Linked DNA regions of Drosophila melanogaster. The protein of the gene in region 3 purifies or fractionates together with the protein of the main gene of each other region. This does not show direct contact. Each region holds a gene or a part of one and is shown on either strand. Other genes may lie near its edges.

Region 1 (6,992 bases), on a different chromosome or scaffold from region 3:
CGGCTGTGTGCCCACCAAGTGGCGGACACCTGGCATGTGCCCTACTGCGCGCAGTACACGCCGCATCCCACAGACAGCTTCGAGGTGCCCGCCAACTGGCTGTGCATCCAGATGAAGGAGCAGACGATACCCGCCACCAAAACCAAGACCAAAACAACGAGGTGACCATGTGAGCAAGACTTCTTATGCGAATAAATAGTAGCCAAATGTTAACACGAATACACTGAAGGAGCCGTCCTAGTCGCAGTCATAGCGGGTGCACTTCTCAAAGGCTCCAAGACCCTGCGGCTGGGGCTTCTTGCGACGGCGCTCGTACAGCAGCTTCTTCTCGGCGGCGCACATGAGCCGACGCTTGATGTGATTGTCCATCTCGAAGTCCAAGTCGGCCGGCTTGGCCAGCTCGTTGGGATCCCTTGTGGCTGCCGAGTCCAGCGCCTTAATGATCAAACTGAGCAGCGCGTGCGCGAGGCGATGGCACACATCGTACTCGATGGCATCCTGGCTGGTGTAGTAGATGGCCGACTGTGAGGTGGGCTGCACACCAATGGCCAACAGGATGTTGCAGAAGATGCCGCGCTGCATGCGCGCATACGGATCCACCAGCTGCGGCGGAATGCGCATCGTTGTGGCCAGATGGGAAATGAATTTGGCGAACTTCTTGATGAGCACGTTCAGGTACTGGGTGCGGCACTGGCGCTCCAGCTTGGTCAGCATGTTGTAGTACAGTTCCTGCTTGCGCTTCAGGAAATCCTCCTTCTTTCGCTCCTTGGTCTTGTTGCTCTTAAGGATCTGCTCCAGCTGTCTGTTTTTGGGAATGAGATGAGATGATTAGATCGCGTTAGCAACTGATGCAAGCGCTGCACTTACTCCGTGGTAATGGCTTTGTATTTGCCCAGCATGCGCTTGATCCGCTTGGCCCGCAGCTTCGGATCGTATACATCCTTGAACTGCTCGTAGTTGTCGATGAGCGTGTGCAACTTGGGCTTGGACAGGGCCACGTCGTAGGGCTTTACCTTGGGCGGCAGTGTCGGCTGGTAGGCCATGCGCCGCACATACAACTCCAGCTTGTCCAGTTCCTCCTCCCGCCGCTTCTTTACGTTCTCCTCTGCGCACACATCCGGATCCTCCTCCTCGGGCAGCGACTCCGTCGACGTGGGCATCGGCTCATCCCAATCCGAGACATTGGAGCTGGCCATGGCTGAAGAGTACTACACGGAACTGAACTAAACGAAACGAAACGGAACGGCTCGTCTCGGCTTGGTAAATTTGTACGTATTGGAAATTTAGCTTTGAACTTGGTTACTTATAAACACAAAATAATGTTTCGAAATCTTTTTTGTGTACGAAAAATTTGGGTAAACGGGAGCACTAACAATTTTATGTATTCACGCTGCGATAGTGGATCACCTTATGAGCAGTCCCAGTTGAAATGTGAGCGAGGTAAAACCAAAGGACTACTTGATAGTCAGAAAAGTTCTACATGTTTTCAAAGAAATGGAACATTAATTGTATGGCAACAAGATTAAGGAATTCCAATGACTCACACCACTAACAAGCAAAAGAGCACTGCATATGTGGTTTACAATTAAATAAGCAACGTTTTATTATATGTAATGTAATGTAATGTATGAATATTAACCAGTGGATCTATGGATCTAAAGCTAGTAACACTCGTTCTGCACGGATCGCTCCAGGGCGAAGGTGTACTCCTCGGCCAGCTCGTCCACGGACAATTGGCGCGTTAGTAGCGCCAATATGCTGTCCACCTGCATTTGGGTGCTGGTGTAGCGATCCTTGTTGGCCAATCCGGGTGCCAGCTCGAATGGAATGTCCTGCAAGTAATTGACGGGTCCTTGGGCTCCGGGCTGCTTCACTTGATCGCTGCGCGGTCCTGGCATCGGCGGATAGGGCAGATAGCCCGCTGGCGGCATAGGTGGATACATGGAGCCGGCTGGAACACCCGGATGAGGAGCATCCGGTACTGGTTTGCGCTCTATGAACACGAAATCATCGACACTGGTGCCTGGACGGGTTGCCTCCGCCGGTCCCTGGATGGGCTGGTCATCCGTGGGCGTTTCCGCGGGCTTGCGTTTGCCAAATATCGAAAACATTGCACTATTTTGTTCTATTGTTTGGTAAAATCAACTGGCAAATTGCGTCGTCCGCCAGCTGTGATGCTCTTTTAGCGGGCGTTGGTCCAAAACAGCGAGTGCTAGCTAGTGGTGTGCCCAAAAGATGTAAACATATAGGTGTCTATAGTGAGGTCTGAGCGAAATATGAGAATTTTGGGTATTTAATTTTTAACTATTTGTTTGCTTGGGTATTTTTCGGTTACGAATGTGTATACCCAATATAAACTTTATTAATTGCAAGTAGTTAGATTTGGAGTGAAATGCAGTCTGCACTGAATTTCCGTTAATCGCCTATCGGTGGGCGCGCAGTGTGGCCATTCGCTCGTCGGATGCGCAGGGCTGGACAACCGACACTGCGCCCGCCTCCGTCGCCAAGTGAAGTCGCTCCGAGATTGATTGTGTACACCGGATAAGAGGAGCGAGCGAAAAAGATGTCAAAATTGGACCAGGACCCGAACGCCTCACTGAGCATCATGGAGGTGAGTGTGCCGCCGGGACGCCATTCAGAGCTTCAGTGTGTCCACTGCCCGGAGCTCCAATTCCAATCGGCGGTGGCTACTCTAGAGCTGCCACATTAACGCATTCACAACTGTCTCCATTTCCCACATTTAACATAACTTTACTACTTCGCGCAGCAAATCAAGCAGCTCATCCGCCCGCCGCCCAACGAGGACGAGAAGATGATGCAGCGGTCCACCAACACGAAGCATCCGTACTACAGGCGCCCGGGCAGGGGCCACAACCACGACTATTGTGACGCCTGCGAGGAGGGCGGCAATCTGCTGTGCTGCGATCGATGCCCCTCCAGCTTCCACCTGCAATGCCAGTGAGTATATACACGCGCATATAGCTGCTCATTTTGAGTGCTGATTTCGTGCTTTCGCCACAGTGATCCACCGTTGAGCGAGGAGGACATACCCAGTGGCCAGTGGCTGTGCCACAGCTGTCGCATGAGCAAGCTCTCCCAGCCGCCGGCCTCCTCATCCAAGGCCAGTTCCGTGGAGCGTGTGCCTTCGGCGGGCAGTGGCTCACGGGCGAATACTCCATCGTCTGGCGATCTGGAGTCCATACCGCTGAAGATCCGCAACCTGCGCAAACGCAGCAACAGCGAACGCAATAGCACCGAGAAGCTGCTGGCCAAAATGCCGATGTCCATACAGCGCGCCCTCGATCCGAACAAGAAGCCAACGCCGCTGGACGATGTCATCAGGGCGGCCACCATGATGAATCCGCAGCAATTCTCGCTGCCGCCGGAGCTCGAGCTGCACACCCAGTTCCCGGGCAATGGCAAGGTGCAACCCGTACAGCAGACGCATCCGCCGAGCGGAAATGGCGGTAATCGCAGATGCGCCGGCAATCAGCGACGCAACTCCAAGCCGTTTGAGCTGGATGCCCAGGGACTGGTGCCGCTGCCCGCCAAAACCTGTTTCTACTGCACGCGCTCCTGCAAACGGGCGCCGCTCATCTCCTGCGACTACTGTCCGCTCTACTTTCACCAGGATTGCCTGGATCCGCCACTGACGGCACTGCCAGCTGGATTGTGGATGTGCCCCAATCATGCCGAGAATTTTATCGTAAGTCAGCCAACGCACATGGAGGTCTGCTTGGGTTCTAATGAGGATGTCTGTTCACAGGATGCCAATATGACCAATAGCATTTCGGCCACGGAGCGGGTGCGTCTCTGGAATCGCTTCCACCAGCCACTTGACCATGAAAATGTCAAGCTTGAGTTCTTCCGGCGTGTCAACACGCGCAATCCGCCCTTTCGCACCAAGAGAAATCTGCGTGCTCGCGCCCACATCGAGGTGCCAGCCATTGTGCGCTACCACTACGATCATCCGCCGCCGCTGTTGCCCTCCATGCGCCAAACGTTGCGCTACGATCGGGTAAAGCGGCGCAATAACCTGCCCACCGAAGTCGAGGAGATATCCCGTGAGTCGGTCACCGAATCGCTGCTCAAGGATCTGGAGGCCTTGCGCACGGCTCACGCCAAATTCCGTGAGATTCAGAGGGAATTCGGAACCTTGGAGACGGCCATAGATGGCGATAGCGACAGCGATCCCAGTCCTGAAGAGAAAAGGACCGAGACGAACACTCCCGCCGATAAAGTGAATGGCGAAGTGGATACGGAGAATCCCAATACAGAATCGAATGCGCAGGCCAGCGAACAGCCGTCGGTTGTCAAGGTGGAGTCCAAGACCAGCCTAGAGGTGGAGGCTAGCTTCGAGGAGGACGAGGAGGACAGCAAGAAATCAACGGGTATTATCGATGCAGACCTCTTACACCTGGACGTCGATATAATCAAGAAGCTGGCGCACCAGCGTCTGCAGCAGCTGGTCGAAGAGCATCCGGAGATTGTGACACAGTACAAGAATCGCACGGCCGCTCGTCGCCTGCGTCAACTGGCGTCAGTCGATGGCACACATGTGGCTGGCGAAACTGCTGCCCTGCAAGGCCAACTGGCGCCGGAGGATATGAACCGTTTCTCGCTGCTCTTCACCAGCGAAACGTCCTCAATTCTGGCGCAAAAGAATGGCAATGCCGCCGACGAAGATCCCGCAACGGCCCTGCATCCGGCACTGGCCACAGCGGCGGCCATTGCAGCAGCAGATGCCGCTGCCGAAAGCTATGCGCCGCGTGCCCGTAGCGACACGGAGAAGGCATACGAGCTGGCATCGCGCCTGGAGCTCAAGCTGCTGCAGTGCAAAGTGCAGGCGCGTGCGGTGATAACGCCACTGGGCGACATGCTCGAGGATAGCCGCTGGTTCAGTTCGCTGGGGCTGGACCATTCGATTTTCATGCGCTACCGCACGCTGTACATTGGCTACGGTGGACACTATTCGCCATCGACGACGCTGGCGCAAACGGAGACCGTGGACCTGTCGGCCATTGGTTACTGTTGTCGCATTTCACCGCAGCACGCCATCATCTTCTACGACGAATTCTCCAAGTCGTACGAGCTGATCAATTACTCAGAGTTTGGCACCGAGGTGAATGGACAGCTGTATGCCTGCGACGTGACCGAAAGGATGACAACGCACGCCGGCAAGCCGATGCGACCTGACGATGCGGAGCTGAAGAAGCGCGTCGATGAGATGCTGGACAAGCGTCGGAACATTAATCGCCAGTTCGAGACGAAGAAAATCGACAAAGAACGGTAGCTATAGTTTATTTGCCCAACTTACCCAATGATGATGATAACCACTTGTTGATTTAATCTCCCCGCAGATTGGCGCCCATTGTTAAGCCCGCCTGCCGCTGCATGAACGCCGGACCAGTGCCCATGGTGGATGGCGCCTGGGAGGGATCGGCGGTGCTGGCTCACGGCAGCCTGCTGCGATTCGGTTGCCTGTCGTTTGTGTTTGTCGTGCCGTCGGTGGATCTGCTGCAGGCGCAGGCGCGCAGCAAGCGTTCGTAGAACCAGTACCCAGACTCCATCAGCAGAAGCAGCAGCCTTTAGTTTAAGCATTAAGACACAGAAACATATACGCGCTCAACCGCAGCCAACTCCAGTGGAGCAGCACCAATCTCAGTGGGGCAGCTAGCAGCCAGGCATAGGGTTAGGGTTAGCAGATACCAGTTCAACTTCATCGCATCAATCATCGCAATGCAAAGCCTCGGCAGTACTTTTAAATCACACAATCCTCCAATCCCATCCAGCATTAAGGGTATATATTTGCCTTATGACCAGTGCAATAAATACGGAGTACAAACCACGGATGTGCACGGCTGCAGGCTGATCCATGCCAGTGGGCAGTGGATCTCTGGTATCAAACGCCGTATTTATTGAATTAACCATTACGTTCATAAATCGCATAAACCCGCATCGCATACTTTACTTTTATTGTAAAAACAGATGTATAAATTGCTAAAACGAAATAAACTTGTAAGATCAGAGATTTTTTCACATGCAAATGGATCGATGGAGCCACCAATTAGCAGTAAGCCCCGCCCAATAAGTGCACATGACTTTTAGTTTCTTTTGAAATGAATGTGTTTACTTTATAACCAGATCAAATCCAACTGGTTAAGGCATTATAGAGAACGAGAAGAGTATACACAATAGGTGCCAGGCGGCGGGACGCCTTGACTTTGTGGAGTACACGAAACGTCGGATAAGTACATTCGGTATGGCTAATATGCAAAAAATATATATGTATATATTTGTAATTGTAAAGATCTAAGACTACGCATGCACCGCGTCCAGGTGCCGGCTGCCATCCTAGAGTGCGGCCGCAGGACCCGGCTGAGCCTGTGCCTGTGACGGGTTGGTGTGCTGCATCTGCTCCTGGACGCCAGCCTTGGCCGCCGAGCGCGTGGCTCGCGATCTCTCCCATTCCGCTTTGTGCTTGCGCTTAGTGTGATGGTACATATTCGACTTGGAGCGGAATTCCGTGGGACAGAAGGCGCAGGTGTGCAGCTTGACGCCCGTGTGCGTGGCAAAGTGCTCCTGCCGCAGAAGAATTCATTATCATTAGTGGTATCCATGCAGCTGCGGATAACTGAAACAATGCAAGGCAGTGCAGTACTCACCTCCAAATATCGCTTCATCTTGAAGCTTTTGCCGCACACATCGCATGCGTACTTGGGCTTGCTCAGGCAGCGATGATTCTGGCCAGGAAGCTCACCGCAATTGGGACAAATGATCGAAACGGGTGCCGCATGGATGACAGCCTGCAGCGGAGCCGCCGGTCGTTTATCCGTCTCTGAAGGCGGGTGGTTGCTGTAAGAGATTCGTTAGTAAGCTTGCTGCTTGCTGCTTGCTGCTGGAGTATCCAATCGACTTACCCATAGGGATGCGCCATCATTGTCCCAGTTGTCGTTGTCGTCGTTGTTGTGGCACTGCTCGTTCCTACGGCC
Region 2 (5,002 bases), on a different chromosome or scaffold from region 3:
TTCTGCAGGCTCCAACTAAAGGTGCTAGTACGGCAAACACCACAGCACCCAATGCCTCTGGTGGCAGCAAGCAAATCTCGGAAATCCGAAGCCTGCTGCAGGTTTCCAACTGGTACAACAATCTCGGCACCAACAATAAGATTATGGTGAACCAACAGCTCGCCCTGGTCTTTACCGAGCTCAAGAAGTTCCATCAGCTGCCGAATGATGCTCCGAAAATTTTCGATGTCAGCTTTATAGTGAACAACACAACGTTGCAGCAGATCTTTGCCAAGCTCTTTATCTTTGTAGATGACAATGGCGAGGTGGTGCAGATTCCCGAGGAGCCCAACGGTAATGGTGCTGCTCTTGGTGGCGGCGGAGATTCTGGAGGCGGAGTAGGAGGAGGAGGAGGAGGAGGAGGAGTAGTGCTTCCCAATCTATCGCAACCCCCACCAAATCTGAGCCAAATGTTAAGGCTACCGCCACCGAACATACGAATGCTTCGCATGTCGGGAATGATGATGCAAATGGGCAACGTGGGACCCCCTTTCAATCAGCCACCGCCACGCGGAGGATTGATGGGAATGCCTCCGAATGGCAATGGATTAAACCAGGGCGTTGGCAATCTGGGAGGACTTGGCCAGTTGGGGATAAACCAAGGAGGAGGACCTGTGCCCAATGGCAATCCCTTCAACCCATTTGGTGGGAACAATGGGGGAGGAGCTGGCGTCATGAACAACATGAATTCAATGGGCAACATGGGCATGGGCTTCAATAACTTCAACAATAATGGCGGCAGAGGAGGGCACTTTCCGGGCGGAGGATCAGGCGGAAACGGCAACGGAAACAATCGCAACCAGCGAGGCGGCAACCACCGAAACCGCAACATTTAAAGGCCCATGCGTTGCGAAAACACAAACGCAAAAGGAGCCCTTTTGCCCCAATGATCTTAAAGCGATGCTATGCCACATGACCCTTTCCCCCAACCATACCATACGTCGTGGAAAACTCGTGGTTTTCCGCGCACCTTCCCCGAAAATCCAGGCATGACTCCTTGTAAATGTATTTTATTCCCGAATCCCCATTATTGTCACTATTTTTTTCGCTAGGTGTAAGGATCTTATTAGCTATACGAGTAGTAAAGAGTAAATAACAAAACAATCCGGAGTAAGAACGAAAAGTGAAGCAGAATGGTATGCGCAGCCCTTTTTAACAAACTTTTTTAAATTATATAGGATAATTTGTTCAATAGCGCGAGTACTACATTGATTAACTAGACGTACGAACTCAAAATAAATGACATCTTTTAAGTAATGTGCCATGCTTAGGTTGCTGGGCCGTCCCGGAGGAGCAGAAAGAAATGAATAGCTCTTGAAAGCGTGCGAAACTACACCTAAACTCTTTAGAAAGCTTTTGCGTACTTATCGATGCTAAATTCTGAATTGGCTTCTCGACCATTTTTAATTTAGTTCCTACAAGGTATATGTTTACGTTTACGCTTAAATTATGACATCTTCTGCGAATTCGAACTAAAAATAGCAGTATAGCGCAATTCTACCTTATATACACACTTGCCATCGAATCTAATGTACTAATAATATAAACGGTCGAAGAAATACCGGTGGAGATTCCATATTCAATTTCTCGCCAGTGGCGTTTTGTTAGATTTCCCTATCAATTTCGTTGGTAAAAGAACGTTGACCGTTGAACGTTTTTGAATTCCTAAAAAAACCAGGGCTGCATTAGTCAGAGCACAGTTGGCTACCTGGCAGCCCCCGCCGATCCGGTCTGGCAACACTGGTTTAACAAAAACATACTACACAAATTACGTTGTTTTGCATAGCAGAACAAGCACATTGAAGCATTTATTGTTTTAAAAATCACTACGACCTGAATAAGGGCATGGATTAGCCATGTCAACCGACGCCGACCTAAACAAGTGCGTCAGTCCCATGTACCAGGTGTCAACCGCAGGCGACGGCCTCCAAGCAGAAGCCGCTGGAGATCTGGCGTTGGCCTCCATTGTCGCAGCTCCCTCCTATTCCTGCGAGCCACAGAAGGACTCCACCGACATGGACGTGGACATGGAGATAGACAACGATCTTACCACTAGCGAACGGATGCCAACGGTGGCCGAACGTTCAACGGTCAACGTTCTTTTACCAACGAAATTGATAGGGAAATCTAACAAAACGCCACTGGCGAGAAATTGAATATGGAATCTCCACCGGTATTTCTTCTTTCTATTTTGAATTCCTAAAAAAACCAGGGCTGCATTAGTCAGAGCACAGTTGGCTACCTGGCAGCCCCCGCCGATCCGGTCTGGCAACACTGGTTTAACAAAAACATACTACACAAATTACGTTGTTTTGCATAGCAGAACAAGCACATTGAAGCATTTATTGTTTTAAAAATCACTACGACCTGAATAAGGGCATGGATTAGCCATGTCAACCGACGCCGACCTAAACAAGTGCGTCAGTCCCATGTACCAGGTGTCAACCGCAGGCGACGGCCTCCAAGCAGAAGCCGCTGGAGATCTGGCGTTGGCCTCCATTGTCGCAGCTCCCTCCTATTCCTGCGAGCCACAGAAGGACTCCACCGACATGGACGTGGACATGGAGATAGACAACGATCTTACCACTAGCGAACGGATGCCAACGGTGGCCGAGCTGGAGCAGCCGATGGATTCCAAAACGAAACGGGAGAAAAAAGAGGAGGAGGAGCAGAAGGACGCGCAGGACCAGAAGCCACTGGAGGACGGCTCCGTGCAACCGCCCAGCAATCCGACAGCCATCAAAATCGAGGAGGAGGACAAGCCAGTGAAGCCGCCGCCGCAGCCGCAGGCTCAGGAGGAAGTCGCGCCCAGTTCGCCGGAGACAGCAGCGAATCCCAGCCAGAGAACTGCGGGCAAGATCACCCGTAGCAGTCTAAATGGCACAGCCAACCAGGCGCCCACCCGCTCCCCAACGATAATAAAGCGTCTGCGAAAGAGCACGCGCTTCAAGGCCAAGCAAACGGGCAAGGGCACTCCCGGAAGCGGCAGTAGCCAGTCAAATGGCCACAATAGCGGGGCGAATGGTTCCACCGGCAGCTCCGTGCACCTCGCGGGCGCTGGCGCCCATCCCAGTAATACCAACAAGCATGGGAAGTCCGGTCCAGCGGGCACAGGCGGGGCCACTGGAGCCCGTAATCGCCGCGCTCTCTTCAAGAAACCAGCACAGAAAACTCCCAAGGTGCAGGCGAGCACCAGGTTCGTGAGAAGCCTTTTCCACAAGGGCAGCTATATACAAATCGGGGATATCGTCAGCATTGTGGACAGCGAGCAGAATCTGTACTACGCCCAGATACGCGGTCTGCTTGTGGACGCCTATTGCGAGAAGTCCGCCTTCCTCACCTGGCTGATTCCCACGCAGGACAGTCCGGATCCCCAGGAGGGCTTCGATCCCCCTACCTACCTAATCGGTATGTCAGTCCTGTCCTCCTGCCTGCTACCCAAAGTTTTTTAAATTGTATTTTTGCTTAACTCCCGTGCCTGCAGGACCCGATGAGGAGCTGTCCCGGAAGCTCTGCTACCTAGAGTTCGTGATGCATGCTCCCAGCAACTACTACTTCGACCGGAGCACCCCGTTTCCCCTGCCGGACGTGGATGAGTACACTGCCCAGAGATCGGGCGGCTACATCTGGACGCGGCTGCCGATAGTCAAGCGGGAAAAGGGCAGTGGCCACAAAGCGGGCGGTGCCTCCTAGCAGAAGAGGTGGCTCAAGGGCAGGATGGCCGGAGCCCTGAATTTGAAAAATCTAATTTATTGCAACTTTTACTCTTCGTAAACGGGCTACTTGCCGAACAGAAAATAATTCAAAAAGTACTTGATGTACTGTAGTACCAACTGAACTCAATCAGCAATTAATGAATAAAATACAATTTTGTAATTATGGATAACGAAGCGTTTCCGACCTATAAAGTATACATGTATAAACATATGTTCTTGATCAGGATCAATAGCCGAGTCGAACTGGCCATGTCCGTCTGACCGTATGAACGCCTCAATCTCAGGAACTATAAAACAGACAGTCGCAGCGCAAGTTTGTTGACCCATGTGGCCCAGTTTAGTGTCGTCCAACGCTACGCGCGCACTTTTGAAAAATGTTTTGATATTTTTAAAATTTTGTTATAAGTCCTGTTTGAATTGCAAAAAACTAATTCCCACGCCCACAAACCGCCCAAAACTGCCACGCATATACTTTTGAAAAATGTTTTGATTTTTCTTCGATTTTACTTTTTTGCAATTTGATCGGTATACCATAAACAAAACATTAAAAATTTTGATTAAGATACCAAAAGGTTATCGACACGAATCGGAATCGTTATTGAATTAGACGAGAAAATAGTGGTGGAGAAACATCGATGTTTCCGATTTGGCGAAAAATATCAAAGTCTTAAACATATTCTTTAAACATGTTGTTCTAAACATCGATGTTTTAAATAAAAACAAAAAAATTATCTGTTTAATTTAAATATTATTTTCTTTTTTAATATTGACTAAATAAAAAAGGCAGTATTTTAACTAAACATAAACTTATTGTCGTCTACGTCTTCATCCCTCCTTATTCAGGAGTTAAAAACTTAAATTTCAGATATTTATCCACGTCTTTCAGGACATCAGCCAACACCACCAGCAAGTCACACTAAATTTGCGATATGTTATTAATAATTCTATTAAAAAATATGGAACTTACAATTTATACTTACAATATATACACATATCTTCTCCGATGTGCAGTAAATACCATCGATACCATCGACGCCATCGATGTTGGCATCGATGTTTCGCCACCTTTACGAGAAAAAGCGGCGGTCACACTGCTTGAGCCTCACTGCGAGTGGTTTTCTATTAAAACGAAAAGGATAGGGACAGAAAAGCCAAAACTACGTTAGTTGTGAAAATTGCATTTGTGTTGCGAGAGTTTTGTCAGGATAAATAGGTGTATTTCCACCATGGAAGTCGACGAGGATGGA
Region 3 (5,873 bases):
CCAGGTTGCCGGCGGCAGGATCTTTGCGATTCCACACTTCTCAGCTATGGAGCGGATCTTGCTGATGTAGGCCAGTGGATTCTTGAACTCCTCAGTTGTGGGCCGGAACACAGGGCACTCTGGCGGCGTGTCAAAGTGGAACTCCTCGTTCTTTCCCTGGTCAAACTTGTTGCTGCTGTGCGGCTGCGTGTGGACCGACTTCTTGTGCCCAGTGGGCGCAGGCGTGGGCGTGGGATGAGGACAACTATTATGGTACTTTTTGCTGGCTGACACACTGCTGCTGGCGTGATTCATGGGAACACTGGGCATAGGCCGTTCCATTACCGCCGGAGAAATGCCTGGCGGAGCATGGGTGTGAGATCCTGTTGCTCCTGCCGGGGTGACTGGGGTCGAGGGCTCGTCGTTAGCATTGGATTTCTTTACGGACTCACTTCCACTATTAGTCCCGTTGCCCGTTGAGTTTCGGGTACGCAGACGACGTGCCGGAGTTGCTGTTCCATTCGCGGATGCGCCCCCGCCGGATGAGGTGCCGCTCCCGACTCCTCCGCCGCCGGAGTTGGCGGCCGTCGTGTTGTCCGCCTCAGTTTTGGCGGACATAGCTTTAAGATGAGTTCAGATTAAATTTATTCCGCTCGGTTCTGAAATAGAGAATAAAAGTTACGGATGAGTTCACAACTTGGTAATATTAAATTCGCTCCGGAAAGGTTGTTTTCGTTATTAGGGTTGAAAGACCTGTCCCGGTTATTTAATTATTGTGGCAGACACACTTCTTGGCAGTTTAGCTACTTTGTATTTCAGCTTCAACTACAGTACTCATTACCTAAAGTTGCTAGTAAGAAACGGCTTATTGGCAGTTTGTTTATTCTACTTTAAACGGCATAATATACCAATTAAATTCTCCCTAATTACAACGTTATTTAAATTTGACTTTTAAGCCAATGAAAGTTTATCTAAGGTTTGTTTGCAATAACTCAATAATAATTGTAGTTACTGCAGTTTATATATGTATATATATAAATATTTCAACAACTAGGGGTTACTTGTTGTTGGTAGAGCTATTATGGTGGCTTTTCAGATACACACACTCCCGCCCCGCGCCCCTTGCATTAATTAACGATTCGTTGCCCCGTCGACAGATTTAAATTGGTTAATATCCACAAGAGAACTGTCGTCTTAGTTGGACTTTCCTACCGCTCCTATTGATCGGAGAGGGAACCCCTGCGGCCCACTGTATCTACATCAAATCGCCGCACACCTGTGTGTGTGTGTATATGTGTTGTGGTGCCTGCACTCAACCCTCGCAGGTAAACAAACAACATTTACAGAGGTGAAAACTCGACTTTGCGACGGTGCAAGTGCAGTTACCAAACGATTACTTCGGTTGTGAGGTTGTATCCAGTGCCGCCGGCGGGATCGCAGGATGGGCAACTGCACTGGACCTAGGCGAAGTAATGCCTTTCTCGCATGTTTCCCTCCAGGGGGATGTGGCTTCTCCCGAGGAGTAATAGAGAGAGAGAGAGAGAGTGCAGCGGCGATTAGCCAGCAGCACTGAATTTGTTGCATACAAAAGTGGAGCACGCCAATACAGGCACAACCCCGGACACGAACACGGGGGATTTCCTGGCCGTGTGTATGTATAACATAGCGACCAATAAACTTACAAATTCGATAGCGAACATGTATACACCAAGTGTGCAAAAGGGGATTATACTTATACGCATTGTATTCAAAACATTCAGCACACAGGACCTTCATGCACACACACACACACACTAACACAAGCACATACACTGAGCAAAAGGTGAAAGCTGTTATCTACGAATTCAGCTGACGAAATCGAGAAGCGGAAACGAAGCCATGTTGAAAACCACTGTCAACTCCAACTTCCGGCTGGAGTTCCCAACAGATTTTTCGCGTTTGTCAGCTAGACACAAGGAAGCCGCCGCGACAGAGCTTTGCTTTGGTGGTTGTTGTGACGCACACACACTCTCGCACGAATGTGGGGCGCCACTGCCACTGCTGCCACCACCGAAAAGGGAGTAGAAGTGGGTGGGCAATGTGTGCCTGCCTGACTGACTGGCGGTGCGTGCGTATGTGTGTGTGTGTATAGTTTCCCGTGTGCTTGATCAGGAAGAGCCCGCTCTCGCCTAGAGAGAGCGAGATGAGCGACGACGAGTACCGTTTTTGTGTATCAAGTGAGCAAAGTACATCGTCGACAGCGACGCCGGCAGAGGCATGCTACGTTTGCTGCTCTGCTCGGGATAATGGGATATTATTTCCCTGCGAATCCGTTCCAAATCAAAATCGGTGGATTGCGATTTCGGATTATTGATTGGGCAGCACGGCGTCGTGACAAGTGCCATTTTCCAAACTGCAGCCAGCTGTTCGCTGTTAGTGTTGGACGGGGGAAACTGATTTTCCGTTCTGCGGCCGCCGATCGCTCGGAAAAGCAGCCTAAGCCGAAAGCTTCTTTTATATAATTTCCATTTTCAGCCGCGCACACACACCCGCACGCAGCTTACACGGGCACAAACAAACAGCTTACACGGACACGGGGCACGACAGACACAGGTACGCGAATACAGGCACACACATTCGCACCGAGCATGTACATAAATATGGATGGATTTGGCGAAATTAGCACTGGATATTGGTTACTTTCCAGCAGGAGCGCAAAATTTACGCATTTGCCCTGCCATATTGCACATTTCCAACGGTGGGGGGAGTGGCGGTGAGCGGAAACAGAAAAGCTGAACTGATTTTTTTTTTTGGAAGGTGACTGCAGCACTGTACTTTTCGAATAGTAACTCCCCGCGAACAGCTCGACTGGAGCTATATATTCACTATATACTTGAAAGTCACTAAACTCAGTGGCATATATTGGCTTTCCAGGCGTGGGATCACAATATTTTTCGCTATGATGGCGACCGGGCAGCGACGCAACGCACTTTGCAGCGCTGTCGCTGCTCTGCTGGCGTGTGCAATTGGTGCGCGATTTTCCGTCCGCGGTTTTCCACCGTAATCCGTTCATCCGCGACGTGGTTCCTAACCTAGCCGCGACCTGGCGTTGTCTTCTGGCCGCATTTTCACAATTATTACGGATTTTCGGAATCCCGATTGCGCTGCCAGCAGAGGGAACACACATACAAACATTTTCCACGACTAGTGCGGGGGGTTGTTTTCGCTGTTGGCCAACGCAGAGGCTGCAATCCGCACTTTTCCTGATCTATATGCACCGACTTGGCCAGGTGGGCGTCTGCGTTTTGCTAGTTTGTTCGCTTTTCGCTGCTAATTAAACGTTTTCAGCCATCAGAAGTGCCCCTAAACTCACACACTGGCACGCACACAATCGCACTGGGTTCGGGCACTGGGAACTGGGCACCCTACACTGGGCAAAAACTCACTGTCGTCATAGGAAGTCGTTGGAAGACGCGCACGCTCGGTATGTGATCGAAATGAGTGTTCCATAAAACCACCGAGCACGGCACTGGCGAGGTGGCTTTAATGCGAATTTACTTTTCTGATTTCTTTCTCCGATGTCTGCGTTTTTTCCTGCTACATGTGTCCAGTGTGACCCGTCGTCGAAGTGCCGGAAACGTCGATCTGCCCCACAAAAGTTCGGGAAAATACCAGCCACCGTCCGCGTTGTGCAGCACTGGCCTTCAAATCAAACACAGTTTCTTATCGGCGGAGGTCGACGAATCGGATCTCGTCTTATCGCCGACCCCCCGTTTATTGTTTCGTTTCTGTATTAGATTCAAAATCAGTTCGGTCATAGGCGTTACTCAGTCTAGCCGGCGCCGCGTTTAACACTATGCCGGTTCAGGGACAGGACTTGAAACATCCATAGGATCCATCGAGCATATACGCAAGGTTTCCTAAGTACGCTTTTTTAATTAATTTTATGAAATGTGTTTCAATACAGTGGTAAGCTAAAAAAAGAAAGTTTGGCATTCTACAAGAGTGAATTATATTCTAAGTTATTAATATAAGTAAGTGAGCTCTTTTATTGTTTTTAGAATACTGTGTGTTAATTTAAGCCTTGGCTTTAAGAATTTGAATTTGTATAATATATTTAAAATAACCAGTAGACATAAGTATTTAGTTAACGGTAATGCCTATGAAATTGTTGTTGCTCAACTCAACAAATCAGCAGAAAATGAAATAAATACGCAAACTGGTTTCTGTAAAATACATTGTTTATGCAAGATCAATAAAAAAAAAACAAACATCCAAGTTTTAAAGTTCGTAAGATTGAACAAAATGGCGGTTTTCTTGGGAAACGGTATTCTTTGCAACGTATTTGGAGCCGTCGCACTGCGTGATAAAAAAAGTGCAGTCACGGTCACACTGGCGAGCAGAATTTCATACGTTTTTGTTTCCTTTTGGCCATATTTATTATTGTTAAAATTGGAGCAATGCCAGCTGCTGTGCGCAAGTTCCGCCGCGAGACCAGTGAAATCAGCTGCTGTCTGAAGTACCTTTTGTTCGCCAGCAATGTGATCCTGTGGCTCTCGGCCCTGCTGGTCCTCTCCGTTGGCATCTGGGCCTGGAGCGAGAAGGGCATGTTCCGCAACATTGCGCGGCTGCACTTCATCGCCCTGGACCCGGCCTTCGTCCTGATCATCCTGGGAGGCGTCACCTTCCTACTGGGCTTCATGGGCAGCGTGGGCGCCTTGCGCGAGAACACCTGCCTCCTGGGGGCGGTGGGTACCACATTGTTAGTGGATCCCCTCTGGACCTAGTTAATCCTTATTTTTCCGCTTGCAGTACGCCATCTTCTTGAGTGTCTTGCTTATCGCAGAGATCGGCTTCTGTGCCGTGGCCTTCGTGCTCAAGGACAAGGGCTGGGTGAGTTCCATTTGAAGGCCACTATTCTAGCCAGCCATTACTAAGGTTTGCCTTTTCCAGATCAAAGACCAGGCCACCGAGGGACTCAAGGCCTTCATTCGCCACTATCGCGAGGACGCAGACCAGCAGAATCTCATTGATTGGATCCAGGAGGATTGGTTGCAGTGTTGCGGCATTGATGGTCCCAAGGACTGGGACAGCAACAACTACTTCAATTGCTCGTCTATCGCTATTGGCAGCAGGGAGGCGTGCGGAGTGCCATTCTCCTGCTGCCGCAGACGTCCGCAGGAGGTGATCAAGAACAAGCAATGCGGCTACGATGTACGCAAGGAGGGATATGTAAGTCCGCTAGCTGTTTTCCCCCGTCTTTCCGAAATGCATATTGAAATTCACCCACGAATCGTACGCATGCAGCCGGTGGATAGGAATATACATGAGCGTGGCTGCTTGCGCGCTGGCGAGGATTGGCTGGAGGCCCATCTGATTAGTGTGGCGATTGGCTGCGTGGCTCTGCTCGTCCTGCAGGTGCAAAACATTTCTATAGTCGTCGTTGTATATTTCTTTTTGAATCTTTGAAAATTTTAAGTTTAGTGTAGTTCAGATGAGAGAATCGTTTTTAAGGTGGTCCCATTTTTTTTAAAAATATGGTTTTTACTCGTAGTAGTTACATCTTTTTGTTTTATAATTTCCCACAGACTTTATATTTATTTTATTTTTTTAATTTCTTACCAGGGCATGGAGTTGTCCAAAATAATCTACGAAAAGGGCTGTGTTCAAGCAGGCGAAGAATGGATGGAGCACAACTTGATTATTATTTCCGCAACTGTTATAGTTGTGATGTTTTTTCAGGTTTCTGTTTGATTTTATTATTTTTCTCACTATGACAATAGATAGATTCTTCTTGTAACGATACACTTTTTGTAGATCTTGGGCATTTGCTTTGCTCAGAACCTGCGTGCCGATATCTACACTCAAAAGTCAAAGTGGCACTGACAAATGGCTCTGTCTGCTCCCACGGCCAT
Region 4 (6,257 bases), on a different chromosome or scaffold from region 3:
GTTTGTGCTCCTCCATGCTGTGGAGTAAGGATGCGATGGTGAATGGAACCGATCCCGCTGATGGTGGCGTTATGAGCACTGGGCACGACGGTACCAATGGTAACGCCCGTCGTATTGACGCCCACAGTAGCAGTGCCACCGCCGCCGGATGTTGGCCCACCTCCAGTTACGCCGACGACACCAACGCCCACACCTCCGGAGGTCTGAGGAACGGGTCGTGTGCCAAATTGCACCTCGTCTACGCGAGTGCGTTTCATCATCTTTTTTGTTGCTCTGTCCTCGGCGGAGCGTATAATCCTGTGCTGCTGCTTCTTCTTTCTAAGCACTTTGTTGCTCCCTGGATCCCTGCCCAAGTGCAAGGACTCTGGCTGCTCTAGGTGAGTGGCCGCCCTCTATGAGCGTATGTAATATGCAACAAACGGTCGGGGTCGCAACTCTTGATCTTGGACTGCTCGTGAATGCGACATATGTTGTCTATGCATTTGGTCGCCCCGCAAGCGGCAAATGCGCTCGAGTTCTAAGGTAGAGAAATTGGACTGACGGCTGGTTATCTGCTGCTGGTGTTGCTGCGCCGGTGATTCGCCTCTGCCACGTAGCGTTTGGAGTTCTTTCTGAATATCACTGCAAGCAAAGCAAGAGAAGGGAAACGGTCATACAATAATGTCGACATTAAATGTATAAAAACCCCCAAGAATTAGGTTTGGGTCTATTTTTAATGAAGTTAGTCATCATTAAATTCTGCATTACTGGAACAATCTTACACATTAATACTAGAATTTATTCACTGACACTGAAATGAAAGGACAAATATGCCAAATATACTTTTCCATATATTAAAGACCACGAGTCTTGCTAATTTTCCCAAAACATGTTAGCTAGTATAGCACAGCTGATTGATCAATTCGGTCTATATCTTCACAGATATCGGAACGATTGCATATTTCAACAAGAAAAAAGGTGAACTAAAAAGCCACGGGGGAATTCTTCTTTTAGCCGTATCACAAAAACTACAGAGTGGAGAACGGTGTCTCTGTATTGGGTGTTCTGGATTCGGGGGAGAAGAGTGAGATGAGGGACAATAGGAATGGAATGAAGCAGTGGAGCTGTGACCAATAACAACAACAGCAACCAGAGATTGATACATATAGACGGGAAGGAGATCGTGGAGTGGAAGTTGAGTCTTGGAGGAGAGTGAGTGCAAGGCATAAGGAGGAGCGCGTAATTCACTTTAGTGTGTGTACGTTCAACCGGAATTGGGCGCGCGCTTTGTTATTGCTTTCAGCGGTACAGTAAAAACTTCCTAAGCGAGCTTTCTGTGTACACCTCCGAGTGTGTGTGTATGTGTGTACATATCAGTATTTGTGAATGTGGAAGGTGCCAAATGCCCCATGCACGACATCGGCTTGCATAGAATTCAGACGCACACATAGAAAATATTTATATATCGATACCGCCAAGGGGGCGGGCGGGTGGTGTGTGAGAGCTGCTGGTACATGTTCTGTATCTACAACTTACAAGAATAAGAAGAAGAAGAGTCAGAGGTAACAGCAGCAGCAAACGCAACAATGCAAAGGTGGTGGTGGCGATACGGTGGTGGTGGTGCAGCCACAGAGAGAACCAGAGAGAGCCGCATTTGTTGTTGAGGCGCAGTATATGGATGATTTTTTTTTTTTCAAAAAGGTATTTCACCCGTTTGGGGCCAAACTCACACACGGACACAGCAAGCATTTGGCGGGCATTCGAGAGAGAGAGCGGCAAAAATGAAGAGAGCGCAACGCTGCGCAAACCAAAGACCGCGAGCAAATATTAGGTGAATGGAAACCGCCTAGAGGATCATCCTGCTCCAACTAATTGAAACACCCCATCGAACCAACAGCTGCCCCCTTTTAGCATTTGTAAACAAATATTGGAGCACAGTACAGCCGCACAAAAGCTTTAGCCCTCGTTCTCTCTCCTGTCTCTGCCACCACCAACTATCCTTTAATAAATGAAGGTAAAACAAGTTCGCTCTTTTGAGCTCTCCCAACTGTCTTTGTTGTTATTGTATTTTTGGATCCGCCATTAGTGCATACCAAACACATTTACTCGCTTGCTGGTGTGTGTGAGTGTTTGACGAGAGAGGCTCCAAATTGGGGCGTTGTGTGCGTGTGTGTGCTTTGGGGAGACATGTGGGCAAATTTTCCCTCCATTTTTTCTTTTTTTTTTTTTTTGATTCAGCCCGCTCTATTACGTGCACACGTATAATGTTATCTTATCTGTTTTGTTATGTGTATACACAGCACAGCAGAATACGCAACACAAAAGGCAGCCAGCGGAAAATATGTTAAATTTTTTGCAAATATCACTAGCACTCGGTTTTGAACAACTGCAATACGAATCGGAATCAACGCGAATTAATATTTAGTTTTTTACTGTTACTTTCTCACTCTGGCGCACTAACACAGCCGCGGAGTGGCGCTGCGCTATTAATAAATTTTGCAAATAAAACATATGGATGTGTAGAGAAATATGTACAATATATTCACATACATATATACTATTTCAGCATGAAGAAGCAACGGCAAACGTTTTGTGTAAATTCAAAACCGAATGAAAAAAAACAGGCGGAGCAAGAACAACAAACGACGGATGGGCTGGGGAGCATGAAGAAGAGGAGCAAAAGGAAGATCTGAACAAAAAGAGGGCCACAAAATGATGCTCTCATTGGGGAGCCATTTAAATGCACACTCACACTAGGCTGCTCTCGCCAGTACATGCGAATGGCGCATCAAAGCAAAAGTCAAGATAAGCGCACGAACTGAGCAAAGAACGAATCAACAACGAAAATAAAACGACACTACGTTGAAAAAATACAGTCAGTTCATAAGCGAACCAAAAGCAATGGTTCAAAGCGTATGTATGAGTGTGGCTCTCCTCTCCACAACTGTGTTCAACTGTGTGTGAGGAGAGCAGAAACTGTAGAGGCAGCAGCAGCAGCAACACAAACAACAACCACGTCCCCGTCGACGACTTTTTGTCTGTGCGCCTTCTATATGTATTCGCTATGCCATTGTTGTTTGTGTGTGTGTGAGTTTGTGCGTGCGTGTGTATATAAACCAATTGAAATTGACCTAACCTAAAAATGTTGTATTTTCACAAGTTTTCAGTGGCACGAACGAAAATATTGTTTGAACTCGAATCCGCACTCCAAGTGCACTTGAAGGATAATGCTACTCTGCAATTTTCACGCCCCCCACAACCGCCCACCGCCCATATTACACTTACATCAGCAATAAGCAGTTAGCTTCGTCGGTTGATATTCGGCTGTGTGTATGTATATTCGAAATGTATGTATATATGTACGGGGCGCGTATGTATATTTACTACAAAACTGCCGTTGGTTTTGTGGTGTTATTGGAAACTTTCACGTTTTACGCAGTATTTTGCACATGCAACTACTATATTCGCACTCACTGGCACACCGAAATCTTTATTTTCACCGTTTTCTTTTCTTTCAGTAGCTGGGGCTTCGTTCTCCAGTTCAGTTTAAGTTTAACGCTTATTTCAATCAATTTGCACTTGGCTCTAAGACCTTAACTAGATCACACGGCTCGAATTTAAGACATTTTCTTCTCGATAGATTGCTACTGCTATTCTATTCACAAATTTTTGGCGAGAGAACGTTTTCGTACATCTCAACGCCGCCGCAAACATTTTCGATTAAAACAGCGAAACGCGACGGCCAGTCATTTGGAGTCAGCAGAGAGAGCGAAATGAGTGTAAAACGGAGAGCGTGAGAGCGCGCGCGCAGTGTTGCTTTGGAATTCATTTTATTCTGCTGCCGCAGCTAAAACAGGGTGGCAACTCAACGGCGCAACAACTAAAATCCTCCGTCGAGCGCGTTGAAAACACATCAGTAGCTGACGGCAAAAATAGTTTATATACCATTCATTACCTATTAGCAAATAATCACAATCAGTGGTTATTTTTATTAGCGGTGAGCGGTACCGCATGCAAATAGTCGCAAAATGGCGCTTAGAATTTGGATAAGAAACGAAATACGTGAGGCTTACGTAAGTGCGAGGACCAACAACAACGCTGGGAAGAGAGAAAACAAGTTGTTTAGAAAACAGGGTGTACCATTGTCACCCAGCCATGTGGTGGAAACGATGATCAGAACATCTGGGTAAGACACCCTGTTTGAGCCAAAGAGAGAGAGCGGGTGTGAGAGCAGCGCACCCACACAAGCGCAACGAGTATACAGCAGATAGCGACGTCGGCAGAGCGTTTTAGCCGACCATTGCAGTACATATGTGAAATCGACGAAACCGAAAATCAGAAACCAAACGGACCACTAGCGAGCTACAACTCTGCCACGGCTACACTTTACACACTCATGTACTCCTCCACCACCTCACTCGCCAGCGCACTCACACACAGACGCGTGCGTGCGGAGAGAGGAAGTAAAAATATGAAGACAAAAAAAAGCAAGTGCATCTCACCATGACAATGGCGGAACCATAAAAACACATGTTCCCATCTCGAATCGAACTGAATTCGGCGGCCAGCTCCTTCACAAAATAAAATAATACAGACAAAAAATCTGTATACGCGCAAAAGTTGAGCTGCTAAAACATGGAAACCTTGCAGTTATCGATTCGTCTCGCTCATTGCGCAATGAAAAAAATGCAGCGGGGGCGGAGGATACGAGAGAGCCTCTCTCTTTGTGAGACACCTGCAGCGATAGGAAATGCAAATCCGCCTTCCACTTTCCAGCTCGAAAGTTCAAAGTTCACATGCAACTAACTAGCTACTGGGTGCAGCGCATGTCCGAGGTGCACCAAAGTCCCTGGACCAAACAAAAAAATGGCACAAACCAAACTCTCCGACTTCCAGGCGCCGCAGGAAGGTTTGTTTGCCCTCCCATTGGGTATTATTGATGCTTTTTTCTATTGATAATAAAGCCAGGTGGTCTAGCATGTTCTAATTATTCCTGTGCTAATTTCAGATCTGTCATGGAATGCGGCACTAGGAAATATTAACTGACGCTGATCAAGTGATATCTGAAATGTGGTAAAGAGGTTCCTGTCACACGGACCCATTTCTATAAAAAAAACTAATTAGTTTGATATTCGTACGTGTTCTGCAAATTATCAGATGTTTTTAACTCTCTTGAGTCACATGATATTTAATGTGATAAAAACTTTTTGTTATTTATTGTTTGTTTGTCCTAAAAAATTGACAACACAGTAAATGGAAAACTTTACTATAAAATATTTAACTTTAGTATTAATTCTCATCAAAACTATAAATCCATTTAAGGATTAGAGAACCCTCTTCTTTATGTAAAAGATTATACACAAATTTACCGGTGAGCCAAAATGCGTGTTGGATCAAAATTAAGAGCAATTAAAAGGTTTTTAAATTAAAATAACGATTATAAATTTGGGAATAGGCTTACACGATTGAACACAACGGCTTCAGTGTTGTTTACTAATTCAATACTTATTGAAATGATAACATAGTATATTTAAACATACAGTTTAACACTCAAGTTTTAATAATATAATGATGAAGGCTTGAAAAAGTTACAACTAAATATGTGTAAAAGTGTTCAACGTCTAATACACTTCAACTTCGTTCCGACCATCAAGTTCAAGAGACTTGTTCGTTGGCCTCTGGCTAAAATACAATTGCGAATTGCAAACAATTGGTTGGCGACGCGGCAAGTGTTTTTTTTTTCTCGGGAGAAAGATCGAGAGAAGTGTGGAGAGACTGCCAAAACTGGGGAGTTTGAGTTCAGAAGTAACTTGTTTTTCAAGTTTTCAAACAGCCAAAACCAAACCAGACTTAAAAGCCAGTCGAAACTTGAGGCGCTTCACAAAGAAAATTTGAGGAAAGCACTGAGAACGTGTTTGTGTGTGTGCATTACAATTGGACCTCACAGAAGCAGTGAGCCCGATTTCAACGAATTATTTAATTAGAATCAACGTAAACCCGCAAATTGAAGGCTGAAACTGCTGTCTCGCTCACCTTGTGCACAATCACACATACGCGAGCACCAAAAGGGTACATTGAGCTGCCAACTGATTTTAAAAGCGAAATTTGAGTTTAAAAAAATTATTTCAATATTTATTGATGCGGTATTTTTTGTATTATTTTTGACTGCATAATTTTTATTAACCTTTTTCACATTAAATAAATTTTCCATTTTTTTATACAAAACAAGAAATAACTATGAAAAAAGAATGGTTTTGCGTACAAAGTTATTCTGGCAT

What was found.
Region 1: the proteins of Kdm5 (region 3) and CG3815 purify together in Drosophila melanogaster (affinity purification with mass spectrometry; 2 studies listed by BioGRID, with this or other methods). This does not show direct contact.
Region 2: the proteins of Kdm5 (region 3) and CG13367 purify together in Drosophila melanogaster (affinity purification with mass spectrometry, with the first as the bait; one study listed by BioGRID). This does not show direct contact.
Region 4: the proteins of Kdm5 (region 3) and Sin3A purify together in Drosophila melanogaster (affinity purification with western blotting; 3 studies listed by BioGRID, with this or other methods). This does not show direct contact.

Annotation. Positions count from the first base shown.
Region 1 is NC_004354.4:6,292,943-6,299,934, forward strand, and holds CG3815 (uncharacterized protein), read left to right. Parts: upstream 1-2,446; 5' UTR 2,447-2,563; coding exon 2,564-2,611; intron 2,612-2,767; coding exon 2,768-2,958; intron 2,959-3,021; coding exon 3,022-3,706; intron 3,707-3,766; coding exon 3,767-5,289; intron 5,290-5,360; coding exon 5,361-5,550; 3' UTR 5,551-6,028; downstream 6,029-6,992. Other genes in the region: mldr (mulder), read left to right, coding at 1-165; CG15892 (uncharacterized protein), read right to left, coding at 238-802, 868-1,196; CG15891 (uncharacterized protein), read right to left, coding at 1,662-2,111; CG12219 (uncharacterized protein), read right to left, coding at 6,355-6,582, 6,666-6,855, 6,921-6,992.
Region 2 is NC_004354.4:642,467-647,468, forward strand, and holds CG13367 (uncharacterized protein), read left to right. Parts: upstream 1-2,294; 5' UTR 2,295-2,429; coding exon 2,430-3,447; intron 3,448-3,523; coding exon 3,524-3,732; 3' UTR 3,733-3,920; downstream 3,921-5,002. Other genes in the region: su(sable) (suppressor of sable), read left to right, coding at 1-875; Roc1a (regulator of cullins 1a), read left to right, coding at 4,982-5,002.
Region 3 is NT_033779.5:5,995,894-6,001,766, forward strand, and holds the start of Kdm5 (lysine demethylase 5), read right to left. Parts: upstream 3,609-5,873; 5' UTR 3,405-3,608; intron 1,872-3,404; exon of another isoform or gene 1,790-1,871; intron 893-1,789; exon of another isoform or gene 821-892; intron 639-820; 5' UTR 598-638; coding exon 1-597. Other genes in the region: Tsp26A (tetraspanin 26A), read left to right, coding at 4,419-4,706, 4,771-4,851, 4,912-5,190, 5,266-5,376, 5,584-5,700, 5,776-5,844. UniProt on the Drosophila melanogaster protein: Histone demethylase that specifically demethylates 'Lys-4' of histone H3, thereby playing a central role in histone code. Does not demethylate histone H3 'Lys-9', H3 'Lys-27', H3 'Lys-36', H3 'Lys-79' or H4 'Lys-20'.
Region 4 is NT_033778.4:12,585,452-12,591,708, forward strand, and holds the start of Sin3A (Sin3A), read right to left. Parts: upstream 3,702-6,257; 5' UTR 3,265-3,701; intron 622-3,264; 5' UTR 261-621; coding exon 1-260.